3 linked regions of the Ovis aries genome follow. The protein of the gene in region 1 purifies or fractionates together with the protein of each later gene. This does not show direct contact. Links are inferred from orthologs where the notes say so. Each region holds a gene or a part of one and is shown in the gene's direction. Other genes may lie near its edges.

What was found. Proteins that work in one complex are often made in the same cells at the same time.
Region 2: the proteins of MED12 (region 1) and VDR purify together in Homo sapiens (affinity purification with mass spectrometry; 3 studies listed by BioGRID, with this or other methods). This does not show direct contact. The link is inferred for Ovis aries from reciprocal best matches to the Homo sapiens genes MED12 and VDR.
Region 3: the proteins of MED12 (region 1) and MED9 purify together in Homo sapiens (affinity purification with mass spectrometry; 6 studies listed by BioGRID and IntAct, with this or other methods). This does not show direct contact. The link is inferred for Ovis aries from reciprocal best matches to the Homo sapiens genes MED12 and MED9.

The regions. Positions count from the first base shown.
Region 1 is NC_056080.1:63,840,805-63,844,304, forward strand, and holds part of MED12 (mediator of RNA polymerase II transcription subunit 12), read left to right. Parts: intron 1-1; coding exon 2-229; intron 230-406; coding exon 407-551; intron 552-717; coding exon 718-838; intron 839-1,195; coding exon 1,196-1,297; intron 1,298-1,397; coding exon 1,398-1,511; intron 1,512-1,759; coding exon 1,760-1,935; intron 1,936-2,115; coding exon 2,116-2,295; intron 2,296-3,349; coding exon 3,350-3,421; intron 3,422-3,500. UniProt on the Homo sapiens protein: Component of the Mediator complex, a coactivator involved in the regulated transcription of nearly all RNA polymerase II-dependent genes.
Region 2 is NC_056056.1:138,634,893-138,638,883, forward strand, and holds the start of VDR (vitamin D3 receptor), read left to right. Parts: upstream 1-1,191; 5' UTR 1,192-1,709; intron 1,710-3,991.
Region 3 is NC_056064.1:34,574,073-34,578,358, reverse strand, and holds the start of MED9 (mediator of RNA polymerase II transcription subunit 9), read left to right. Parts: upstream 1-1,486; 5' UTR 1,487-1,555; coding exon 1,556-1,776; intron 1,777-4,286.

The DNA.
Region 1 (3,500 bases):
GTGACTTCTGCTCCAAGGTGAAGAACACCATCTACTGCAATGTGGAGCCATCAGAGTCCAACATGCGCTGGGCACCTGAGTTCATGAACGACACTTTAGAGAACCCCGCTGCTCACACCTTCACCTACACGGGGCTAGGCAAGAGTCTTAGTGAGAACCCTGCTAACCGCTACAGCTTTGTCTGCAATGCCCTTATGCACGTCTGTGTGGGGCACCATGATTCGGATAGGTATGGGGCGTACTGAGTGAGGCATGGGCACCACGCTCCCGCCTGATGTTGGGAGGGATGACTTGCCCGGGAGGTACCACAACCTTGGTTATAGCCGGGGTGGAGATGAAAAGTTAATGAGTCTGAGGTTTTGCCAGAACAGGTTTTTTTGCTGAGGGCATTTGTACTTTTCCCCAGGGTGAATGACATCGCCATCCTGTGTGCAGAGCTGACCGGCTATTGCAAGTCACTGAGTGCAGAGTGGCTGGGAGTGCTTAAGGCCTTGTGCTGCTCCTCTAACAATGGCACTTGTGGTTTCAACGACCTCCTCTGCAATGTAGATGTGAGACTGGGGGTGGGGGCGCACCGGGCAGTCCCCAGGGCAGGAGTCTGCTCCCAGTGACTGTGAGAGCGGAGGGACAGCTTTATGCAGAGTGGAGGCCCAGCACTCAGAGTAGGAGAACTCTTTCCACACTGAGTCCTGGTGTGTGTCTGCTTTTTTCCTCCAGGTCAGTGACCTGTCTTTTCACGACTCCCTGGCCACTTTTGTTGCCATCCTCATCGCTCGGCAGTGTTTGCTCCTGGAGGATCTGATTCGCTGTGCGGCCATCCCTTCACTCCTTAATGCTGGTAAACTACCAATTTGTGACCCGTAGAAAGTCTAGACCCCCAATGTCAATACACACTCAATGGCTATACTCTCCTTGTTCACTGTGGGGCTCCTGGTGGCACCAGAAGCCAATTCTGTTGTGTGTCTCAGGCTGGGAGGGGCCTCTTTCTGACCCTGCACCTGTATCCCCAGTCTTTCCTGTTCCTGACCCTTCCAGGTTCTCCCCTCTACACTATAGAACAGTTGGCTCCCTCACCTCTCCTCCAATGTGTTATCTCCTTTTGCCTGACCTCAGCCACCTTTTTAGTGCCTCAGCACCCACAAACCCACATATAGCCCACCTTCATCCTTTCCCCGCCTCTGTGTCTTCTCTGTAGCTTGCAGTGAACAGGACTCTGAGCCAGGGGCCCGGCTTACCTGCCGCATCCTCCTCCATCTTTTCAAGACACCTCAACTCAATCCTTGCCAATCGGATGGAAGTAAGTGACTCCATCCAAGCCAGCCTGCCAAGGATAGTGTGGCTACCCTACCCCCACCGTTTCTACTTTGGCTTCCCCTGACTTCAGCTCTCTCCACCAGACAAGCCTACTGTAGGAATCCGCTCCTCCTGTGACCGCCACCTGCTGGCTGCCTCCCAGAACCGCATCGTGGATGGAGCTGTGTTTGCTGTTCTCAAGGCTGTGTTTGTACTTGGTATGGGGGTAGGAAGAGTGGTGCCAAAAGTGTGTATAGGGTGGAGCGCCAGCTAAACTACAAAGGGCAGTCTTTCTCTCTCCTAAAGCTGGTCTCTCTGACCTTTCTGGAGGATAGGAAGGAGGGAAGTATATTTCTGTCCCATAGGGCAGGATTTGGGGAGTGCTGCTTCTGTGGCTCTGGGGCAGGTCTCCACACAGCATTGGGATCTCACTTTGCACTCCGTATCTCCCGCCCGTGAACCGCAGGGGATGCGGAACTGAAGGGTTCGGGCTTCACTGTGACAGGAGGAACAGAAGAACTTCCAGAGGAGGAGGGAGGAGGTGGCAGTGGCAGTCGGAGGCAGGGTGGCCGCAACATCTCTGTGGAGACAGCCAGTCTGGATGTCTATGCCAAGTACGTGCTACGCAGCATCTGCCAGCAGGTCAGTCTCACCTTCTCTCACAGACCTCTTCAATGCTGCTATATAATATAGTCTTGTTTCCTGTCATGATCACACCACCTCCCCGCCATACATTTTGTCCCTCACCAACCGCTTGTCCATCCCCCTTATTCGTAACCCCCTCACTGGTTGGCCCAGTCCCCTAATTCTTGGCTTCCTCAGGAATGGGTAGGAGAACGTTGCCTTAAATCGCTGTGTGAAGACAGCAATGACCTGCAAGACCCAGTGTTGAGCAGTGCCCAGGCCCAGCGCCTCATGCAGCTTATCTGCTACCCACATCGGCTGCTGGACAACGAGGATGGGGAAAACCCACAGCGGCAACGCATTAAGCGTATTCTCCAGGTAGGCCAAGGTGACGGGGGTCTTGGAGGAAGTGGTAGGGCCTGAACCTGGGGTGAAATGATGGGAACCTTGAGAGAAAAAGAGAGGGAGAATTAAGTAGGAAGATGAATGAGGATATGGTGAGAGGTGGTGAGAGAAACAGCTCCAGCATGGGTTTCGAAGTCAAGCCAATATGGTCTAGACTCAAGAGTGAACCATTGGGTGAGGGCACACAGCTGGCTGGAGTAGGGCTTTGGCTTATCAGTGGGAGACAGAGCATCTGGGAGGTCTAGATTTTGGTCGTATGTGTCTGGCATGTCGATCGTAGCTCAGTGATGAGTAGTAATGCTGTTGGAAAGCTACTGCTTATTGAGTGGCTGCTTCATGCTGGGTACTGTGCTTAGTACTCCATGTAGATTTCCTTAGTTAGTCTTTACAACCCTGTGAAGTAGGCATGAATATCCCTGTTTTAGCATCAATGAAACTGAGGCTTGAAGAGGTTAAGTAACTTGCCCGAGGTTCAGTAACTCACGCAGCTGGTAAGTTTAGAGTCAGTATAGGAGCCCAGGTCTGCCTGCACCCTTCCTGCCTCGCCACACTGCTGCAGACATTCATGTGACTGGGGGTGGAAAAATAAAGCTGTTGAGGGAAACCTAAAGGAATGAGGCCTCTTCGGCTGAGAGAAGATAATGCCTCAGAGAGATTAACTAAGACTAGCCCTCGGGTCTGTAAAGGACTTTGAAAACAGGAGTGGCGAGCTTCAACTTCAACATCAAAGATTTAAGTTAAGCATTAAGCAGAACTTCCTGATGCTGAGGAATGTGAGGCTCTGGAGCAGGAAACTGGGGAAGATGTGAAATTTTTCCAAAACCACTTTTGAAATAGGATAGATTTTTTTTCAGTCATTTTGGATTATTTAAGTGTGATTTTTCCTAAAGAGGGAAAGTCGAGGGCCCTTTCAGACCTCCAGGCATATGTGATTCAAGGTTGTGAGAGATCAGGGGCTGGCATCAGAGTACTAAGTGTCTGGGATGACACAGTGATGACTAGATTGCTGATGGGGTCTCTGTCACAGAACTTGGACCAGTGGACCATGCGCCAGTCTTCGTTGGAACTACAGCTCATGATCAAGCAGACCCCTAACAATGTGAGTGGTTCCCAGACCCTCTCTCATGCTCACTTCCAACAATATGTGTCAGGGAAGGGGGCTGCCATAGAAGAGCCTA
Region 2 (3,991 bases), on another chromosome or scaffold:
TCAACAGCTCTGCCGATGGGGCATCATTACTGCCTTTGATGGATGAGGAGTCTGCAGCTTGGAGAAGTGAATCCATGTCACCCAGCTGGAGTACACGAGCCCCTGGTGCTTGCTCTTATAGCCCACATTCCATTGGTCTAGTGGTCCTTTTCTAAATAAAATGCAGGGACTTCTCTGGTGGTCCAATGACTAAGACTCTATACTCCCAATGCAAGGGGCGTGGGTTCAGTCCCTAGCCAGGGAACTGGATTCCACATGTAGCAACTAAGACTCCGCATACTGCAACTAAAAATCGCACATGGTGCAACTAAGATCAAAGATCCTACATTGCCGCAACTAAGACCTGGCACATCCTAATTAATTAATTACCATAAATAAGACGCGAACGTGGTGGTATCATCTTGTCTCTTAAAACCTTCGGTGGCTCCTCACAGGCTGCAGGAAGAGACCCAAACCCCTTCCACAGCTTGCAAGGCCCTTCCATTCTCCTGCTGCCCTCTTCCCTCTAACCGCACGCTCTGACCACAGCAGGCTATTTGTAGCTCCCTAAACATGCCGGGACTCTATGTGCTCGCTAGTTCTGCCCTCTTTGTGTGGGATAATCTTTCCTCCCTGCCCCACCCAATCCACACCCTTTGTCCTACTCCCGGAGAGATCCCACACAGCCACCCAAGCCCAGCCCAGATGTCACTCTGAGGTCTTCTCCTGCCGCCCCCGTGCACACGCTGCTCGGCGTCAGCGCTGCTGTCTTCACATCCGTCTCTTCTCTAGCGCCTGCGCTTTCTCCATTATAACCCTCTGTTAACCAGGCTGAATGTCCTGTTAGACTGTCAATTCCGTGTGGGGAGAGGTGGCGTCTCTGGCGCCTGGAGGAGAGCCTGGCGGAGAGTAGAAGCTCCGCAGCTGTGTGTAGGATGAGGGAACGACTTAAGTGAGTACAAGGTGAGCACCTCAGGACAAGCACAGTGTCACAGTCACAGGACACGGTATGCATCCCCATCTCACGGCAGGTGCCCAGCCCCCAGTGGACGTGCAGTCAAGGGTGAGTGAATGAAGGTGAGGAGAGGAGAGAGGATGGAGCGAGGAGAGAAAAGGGAAGGTTGGATTCACAAAGCAGTTGCAGGCATAGGCACTACTTTGTTCCTTCCACCAGGGGGCGCAAGAGGCCCAGGAGCCTGGCCCTCGGTTCTTGAGGATCAGCCTTAACACCGGCAGAGGTTTGGGGTTGTTTGCTTCCACAGAAGAAGGAGAAAGCAATGGCACCCTACTCCAGTCCTCTTGCCTGGCAAATCCCATGGACGGAGGAGCCTGGTAGGCTGCAGTCCATGGGGTCGCTAGGAGTCGGACACGACTGAGCGACTTCACTTTCACTTTTCACTTTCCTGCATTGGAGAAGGAAATGGCAACCCTCTCCAGCGTTCTTGCCTGGAGAATCCCAGGGACGCGGGAGCCTGGTGGGCTGCCGTTTATGGGGTCGCGCAGAGTCGGACATGACTGAAGCAATTTGGCAGCAGCAGCAGCAGCAGCAGCAGCTTCCACAGAAGGATTCAGGAGGAGCCAGGATCCGAGGAGGGGAGTCCACCCAAAGCTGAAGTGCCTCAGCAACAGGCCTGGCACTGACCGGGCCTGGCCTGCCTGGTGGGACCAGAAGGAGCCAGCTGCCCATCCTGGGATCTCCGTGCACCCAGGCGAGGCCCACCTTGGGACAGGTAGGTCCTTGCAACTGGAGTCGAGCTGGCCCAGAGCTGAGAAAGGACTCAGAGCCCTCCACTGCATGGGCCTGGGGCAGGTGGTTTTCACAGATTCCCGGACAGGAGGCAGTTCTTTAGAATTCACAGCTTTGTCTTCGCACTTCTCCTGTGCTAGTAAAGGCCAGCCTTGCAGGGACTTGGGGCAGAGACAATGAGGAACAAAACACAGTCATTGCCCTCCGGGTGCTCCCTCCCTCCCTGTGAAGCCCTGCACCTGAGTGTGACCTTGGGCACCGCCTTTAACCCTTTCTGGGCCTCAGCTTCCTGATATATTGTTCAGTCACTAAGTCGTGTCTAACTGCAGCACACCAGGCTTCCCTGTCCTTCACCACCTCTGGAGTTTGCTCAGACTCACGTCCACTGAGTCAGTGATGCCATCCAACCATATGTAGCATTGTTTAAATGATGAAATGAGCTAATCCATGAGACATTTCTAGATTACTGTGCATCAGGCAATAAGCATTCAGTAAACGGCAGCTATTATCAGATATTACGGTGATGGTGATTCAGTACCAACAAGCTCTTAGAAGCTTACATGGAAGGCGCGCGGGAGACTGGCCAATGCCGCCAGCTTTGAATTAGCCTTGAGCATCCACCCAGCTGGTCTTTCCATGGCAAGCCTTAGGGATGGAGAAGAGAGATGAGTACTCTGTGCTCACGAGGCCTTCAGTCCTGAAACACAACACACCAAACAGATCCAGAGAGAAAACTGAGGCTCAGACCCCGTGACTGGAAGAGGCCTCAGAGATAAGTGGAGGCAAGGCAGAGAGAAGGGGTGTCCAGCCCAGGGACCTGCCACCCTATCTCTTGGGGTCCTGAGGCCACATGGCTGCATGGGCACAAGATAGCTTGGTGACTTTGGTCTAAATTAAATGCCACCAAACATTTGTGTTATAGAGAATTTTTAGTAGTTTTGGCCTCTCACCCACCCTTGTGAACAGGTGTGCAAGGGGACCAGTACAAACAGGAAGGGTGAGAGGATTGGATGGGAGGTGTCAGAGGGAGGCGAGAACGCAGCCTGGGATGCTGGAGAGACGGAGGGTGAATCCAGACCGTGGTCACTGTGGCCGGGCCTCGGTTCAGCTATGCATTCTTTCTCTCTGGGCACTGGGCAGGAGTGGGGGTGGCCTCTCGAGTGGTGGGGGTCATATGCTGGGAGTTGGGTCCCCTGCGTCCCGTTTCTGTCTGCTCTTGCCTCAGCTTTCTCTGCTCTATACCTTCTGCCCCTGCCACTGAGAAAGGCCCAAAGTCCCCACTCTCCTTCCAGAAGTGGTGCTTGTGCGACCTCCTGCACGAAGCCCTCCTTGATTCTGACCCTCTGCGGGGGACCATCTCTGAATCTTCATGTTAGCTTGTTTATACTGTCTCATGGGGTTCTTGCCTTGCCTTTGCACGTACAGAGGTGGCAGAGTACAGCACTGAGAGCATGGATTCTTGGCTCCCTGGGCCAAGATTCTGGCTCTAGCCTTTATAGTGCTATGGTGGGTGGAAGTTTCCTAACTTCTGTGTGCCTCGGTTTTCTCCTCTACAAGATGAGGAGAACAGCAGTACCTTCTGCACAGGGCTGATAGGACTTTAACATTTCATGTAAATATTTGGCCGTGTTGGGTCTTGGCACCTGTGCCTGGGTTTTCTCTAGCTGCAGTGAGCAGGCTTCTCCTTGTGGTGGCTTCTCTTGTTGTGGAGCAGGCCCTCAGCGGCTGCGGCCCTCGGGCTCAGCAGCTGTGGCTCGTGGGCCCTAGGGTGTGCAGGGTTCAGTAGTTGCTGCTCGCAGGCTCAGTAGCTGGGGTGCATGGGCTTTGCTGCCTTGTGGCATGTGGACTCTTCCAAGACCAGGAATCGAACCCATGTCCCCAGCATTGGCAGGTGGGTTCTCAGTCACTGGACCACCAGGGAAGCCCTGATAGGGCTGGGAGCCACATTTGTAAAAGTACTTAGGCCTGGACCTCGAACGCAGGAAACGCTCTCTAAGCGTACGCTCTTGTTGTCACTGGAGGGCCTGTGCCTTACCCCCTCCTGAAGCCTGTTGCTCCTCAAGGAGAGGTCCCTTTACTTAAGCTGATTTGTGTCCCTTCAGGGCCCCAGCCCAGGGCCCGGCCACCACGAGTCTTCACTGACCTTGTGTGGAATGGTGATGGGACCCGAGGGCCCTCTTGCCTGGTCTCCTGTCCCTCTGGGGCCCCCAGAGAGCCGGGCTGCCTCCGTGGCTGAGGCCCTGCCTCCCACAACCCCGCCTGAGC
Region 3 (4,286 bases), on another chromosome or scaffold:
GCTCTGTCCCTTGTACATACTTTCAATCCACAGTAGTTGTGGTAATTACTATTATTATCATTACACCGCCCTTATGTCCCCAGGCAATTCCAAGGGTGTACAGCCTCTTCAAGCCCGTCTGGTCCTGTCCCAGGGGGTCCTTCTTCCTCCTTCTCCACCAGAACCCTGAACTTTCCCTCAGGGGGAGAGGCCCACAGTCAGCAGCCCCCCACCTCCCTGTGCTCACCTGTGGGGTGCAGTTTTTATAAGAAAGCTGTGCTAAGGCTGTTACCAAAGTGCCCTCTGACACACCGTCCACCCTCCCCACTTCCTTCCACAGTCTCCTCCCCTGGGACTTGCCTCTACAGACTCCTCCTAGATGCCTCTGAAATACCAGCACTGATGCTTCCTTGGCACCGGCCACCTTGCTCTTCAGTAGAGGGGTACTTCCCAACTAGGATGCCACTCCCCATCACACAGCCCCCTCATTGTGGCTTGGGAGGGCTTGTTTTGAGGAACATACCCACAAACCCACCAGGAGTCCCCTACTTTGACCTAAGAGCCCACTGCTGCTAAGTCGCTTCAGTCGTGTCTGACTCTGTGCAGCCCCATAGACAGCCACCCACCAAGCTCCGCCGCCCGTGGGATTCTCCAGGCAAGAACACAGGAGTGGGTTGCCATTTCCTTCTCCAATGCATGAAAGTGAAACTGAAGTCGCTCCGTCGTGTCCGACTCTTAGCAATCCCATGGACTGCAGCCTACCAGGCTCCTCCATCCATGGGATTTTCTAGGCAAGAGTACTGGAGTGGGGTGCCATTGCCTTCTCCGCCTAAGAGCCCAGGGCTCATGCAAAGGACACCTTCAAAGGTCAGCCATGTGTCTGAAGTTGGAAAGTGGTTTGGGCTCTGCCATGACCCTGAACTAAAGATTTTAGAGGTGAGCACACTGAGACCGGGGGCTTCAGGAGCTGGCCCACAGGTACGGAGAGTAGCTGACACTGACTTCTCCCTCGGATACAGTATTTATTCCTGGTACTAATCCCCTTCGGCCATCTCTGCTCGGAGTAAGTTGAGACAGACCTCACCCTTCCCCCACAGTTAGCACAGCGTGTGTCACCCAGAAGATGCATATTAACTGTTCGGTTTATTTCAGGGTCCATAGGGTAGGCGCAAGACCTCGTCCCTGGAGGCTTCTGCGCGGGTGGGAGCCGTGGGTCCTTCCCCTCGGATCCTCCACGGGCCCAGGGCCTGACACCCGCAGGTGCGGAGGTGCTGTCCACTCTTCCTGAGGCCCCATTTATCTTCCTCTACAGGTTGCTTTTGGATTCTCTTTGTAACGTGAATAGGAATGAGATGTTATTCCTGAAGTATACCTTCTATTTCTGACTTTTGAAAAATTTAGCTGTCTCTGCGCACCACCAAATCCAGGCTACCAAGGACCAGCCGCCTGTTGCCTAGTAACGACCGCCAGGCCCGGCCCCGCCTCCGCGGCGCACGATGGTGACGTCATAATCAGCAACACTTCCGGCGCGCGAAGCCGACTGTCCCCCTGATCGGCTGCTGGGGTCCGGGACACGATGGCTTCTGTGGGGGTTGCTGCCGGCCGGCAGGGTGAGGACACGCTGCCGCCGCCCGCAGAGCCTCCGCTGCCGGAGATGAAGCCGCTGCCGCAGCCGCAGCCGCCGCCGTCTGTCTCTGCGCAGCAGCCGCAGCCCGCGCCGAAGCCTCCATCCCCTGCCGGCGTGAAGGCGGAGGAGAACTGCTCCTTCCTTCCCTTGGTTCACAGCATCATCAAATGGTAAGGGCCCGGGGGAATCAGCCCGCACGCCCCCGCTGCCCATCACATGTCCAAAATCCAGGGGCGCCCCGCGGTACCAAGGGGGAGACACACCCGGAGGGGAGCGGCCACGCCGAGGCCACCGCGAGCAGTCCCAAGAGTTCAGCATTCCCTCCTGGGAGTTACCAGGCCCCGTGCTGGCAAGCAGCGTTCTTAAAACGAAGCCGATGTAGACAGCAAGTGCACAGACGCTGCGGGCAGACCATTGGGGTGCAGCCTGGTGAGCCTGTTTTCCCACAGATCCGACAGATACGGGTCATCTTCCATGTGTGGCACACTGCTAAGTGCTGTGGCGTGTACACGTGGAGGGGCCGACTTTTCATCCCCACCTTGCTCACCAGTTAGAAGGGGAAACTAATGAGCGGAATAACCCATAATGCAAAGAGATTATAGGGGTGATGTTGGGAATTTTACAGGAGTAGGACGCTGCCCTCCGGACAGCACTGGGGTGCCCTGTCCCGGCGACACGGGGTGATTGTCTGCTTTTGGCCAGTCTTCAGATCACCTGAGTTTTCAAACTTATCCTTAGAAGGAAAACACACACACACACACAGCCAAAATCTCCCCAATCCCCACATTTGCCCAAATTATTGTTAACTGTTATTTATGTCTACATGATAGCAAAGTTTAAACCCCTGGGCTTGAACTTTTTATTCAGCCATTAAAAAATAAAAGCAAAGTGGATTACAACAAAGTTGTAATCTTTTACAGTAACAAAGTTGTTATTTTTACAGTAACATTCAAGTGAACATCAACATGCTCTTGGATGTTTTGCTGAAATGGAATTGATACTCACAATACAAAAGTATTGGTGATGGCCTAGCCGGTTTAGAGTTGAGGCGGATTAGATTCACTTGCCCTGGGATGACCTGACACTTCCACTGCTTTTCAGACGACTGTGAAGACTTTGTTCTCACAGTAGTCACAGTAGACCTTGACTTCATCTGGCTTCACTTGGTGTGAACATAGTGTTTATCGGGCAAGGCAAACTGTTCTATTCCCAGGAGCCTGTGATCAGGTAGCACTTCTAGGCAGAGTGACCAAGCAAACACACACAGAAGCAGCCCTGGAGTCCCAGGCATTATCCAGGATCAAGCCAAATATGCTTATTCGGGTTTTAGAAAAAAATACGGAAAAATGAAAACACACAGTGTTCTCCGAGTCTATTTTTGACCCTGATAGAGCAGTTGGGTTGGGCTGGCCTTAAAGATGGAACTGTATTGTCTGTGAGAAAGAACATGGGCTTTGAAGTCAGATCTTCTTGAGTTCAGATCTGCATGTTGATGCTTGCTTGTGTTGGAATTTTAGTTAAGTGCATAGCCTTTCTAGACCTTGATTTTCTTATCTCTAATATATGAGTAATAATTGTTCTTTGTTCAGTCGCTCAGTTGTATCTGACTCTTTGGAATCCCATGGACTGCAGCACACCAGATTTCCCCATCCTTCACTATCTCCCAGAGTCTACTCAATCTCATGTCCATTGAATAGGTGTTGCCATCCAAAAATGAACCACAGATGATAGCTCTATAAGGTACCAGCTGAATGACCTTGGTCAGACAGCTTAAAGGCTTGTACTTTCCCAAGATTTGTTTTAGGAGAGAGTCAGCCAGAGTGTCTGGACTGGGGAACACTAGGCACATTGTGGGAGCTGGGGGAGGGGAGCCATACTGAGAATAGGAGCTTGAGAGCAAGTCCACAGACTGGACATTGAGACCCAGCCCCACCCTTCACCCATACCTCCCCTTTCCTGTCCCCAGCTTCTCAACTGACAGCCAAAGAAAATAGACTCTCTTGGGTGTCTGACCCCAGAGACACTGAACCAGGGAGTCGAGGAGTCATCCGAAGTTTTTGAGCTAGTGCTTGGGTTTTGTGAAGGTAGATGGGACAGAGGGCTTTAGGAGGAGGAGAGGACTGGGGTCCACAGGAAGCTGGGGAGTAGGAGGAGGAACAGGGATGAACTGCAGGTGGTGGCAGGCAGAGCTGCAGCACTGACTGAGGGGACTGTGGGTGCCCAGCACACACAGGTGCAGGTGTGGGATGGTCATCCCCATTCAGACCGCAGGTGATCAGTTACAAACATCCACATACTCGTAACAGCCATGTCATCTAGCTGTCCGAGGTGCATTTCAGGTGAAAAAAGAACCAAGAATCAGAACCATGTGTGTAGTGTGGTTACATTTTTGTCAAAACAAATTGAAAAGTGATTCAGTTACACATATATGGACATTCTTTTAAAAAAAATATTCTCTTCCATTATGGTTTATCATAGCTATTAAGTATAGTTCTCTGTGCTATATGGTAGAACCTTATTGTTTAAAAAAAATTTTTTTTTTTGTTTGTTTGTACCTTGTCCTTTCAGACTTATGTGTTGTGAATCAGTTTTCTTAAAACTATAATTTAATTTCAAAATTGCCTTGGGACTTAAATTCATAACAATGTGTTAGCACATATGCCATCCAAATGGAATGATT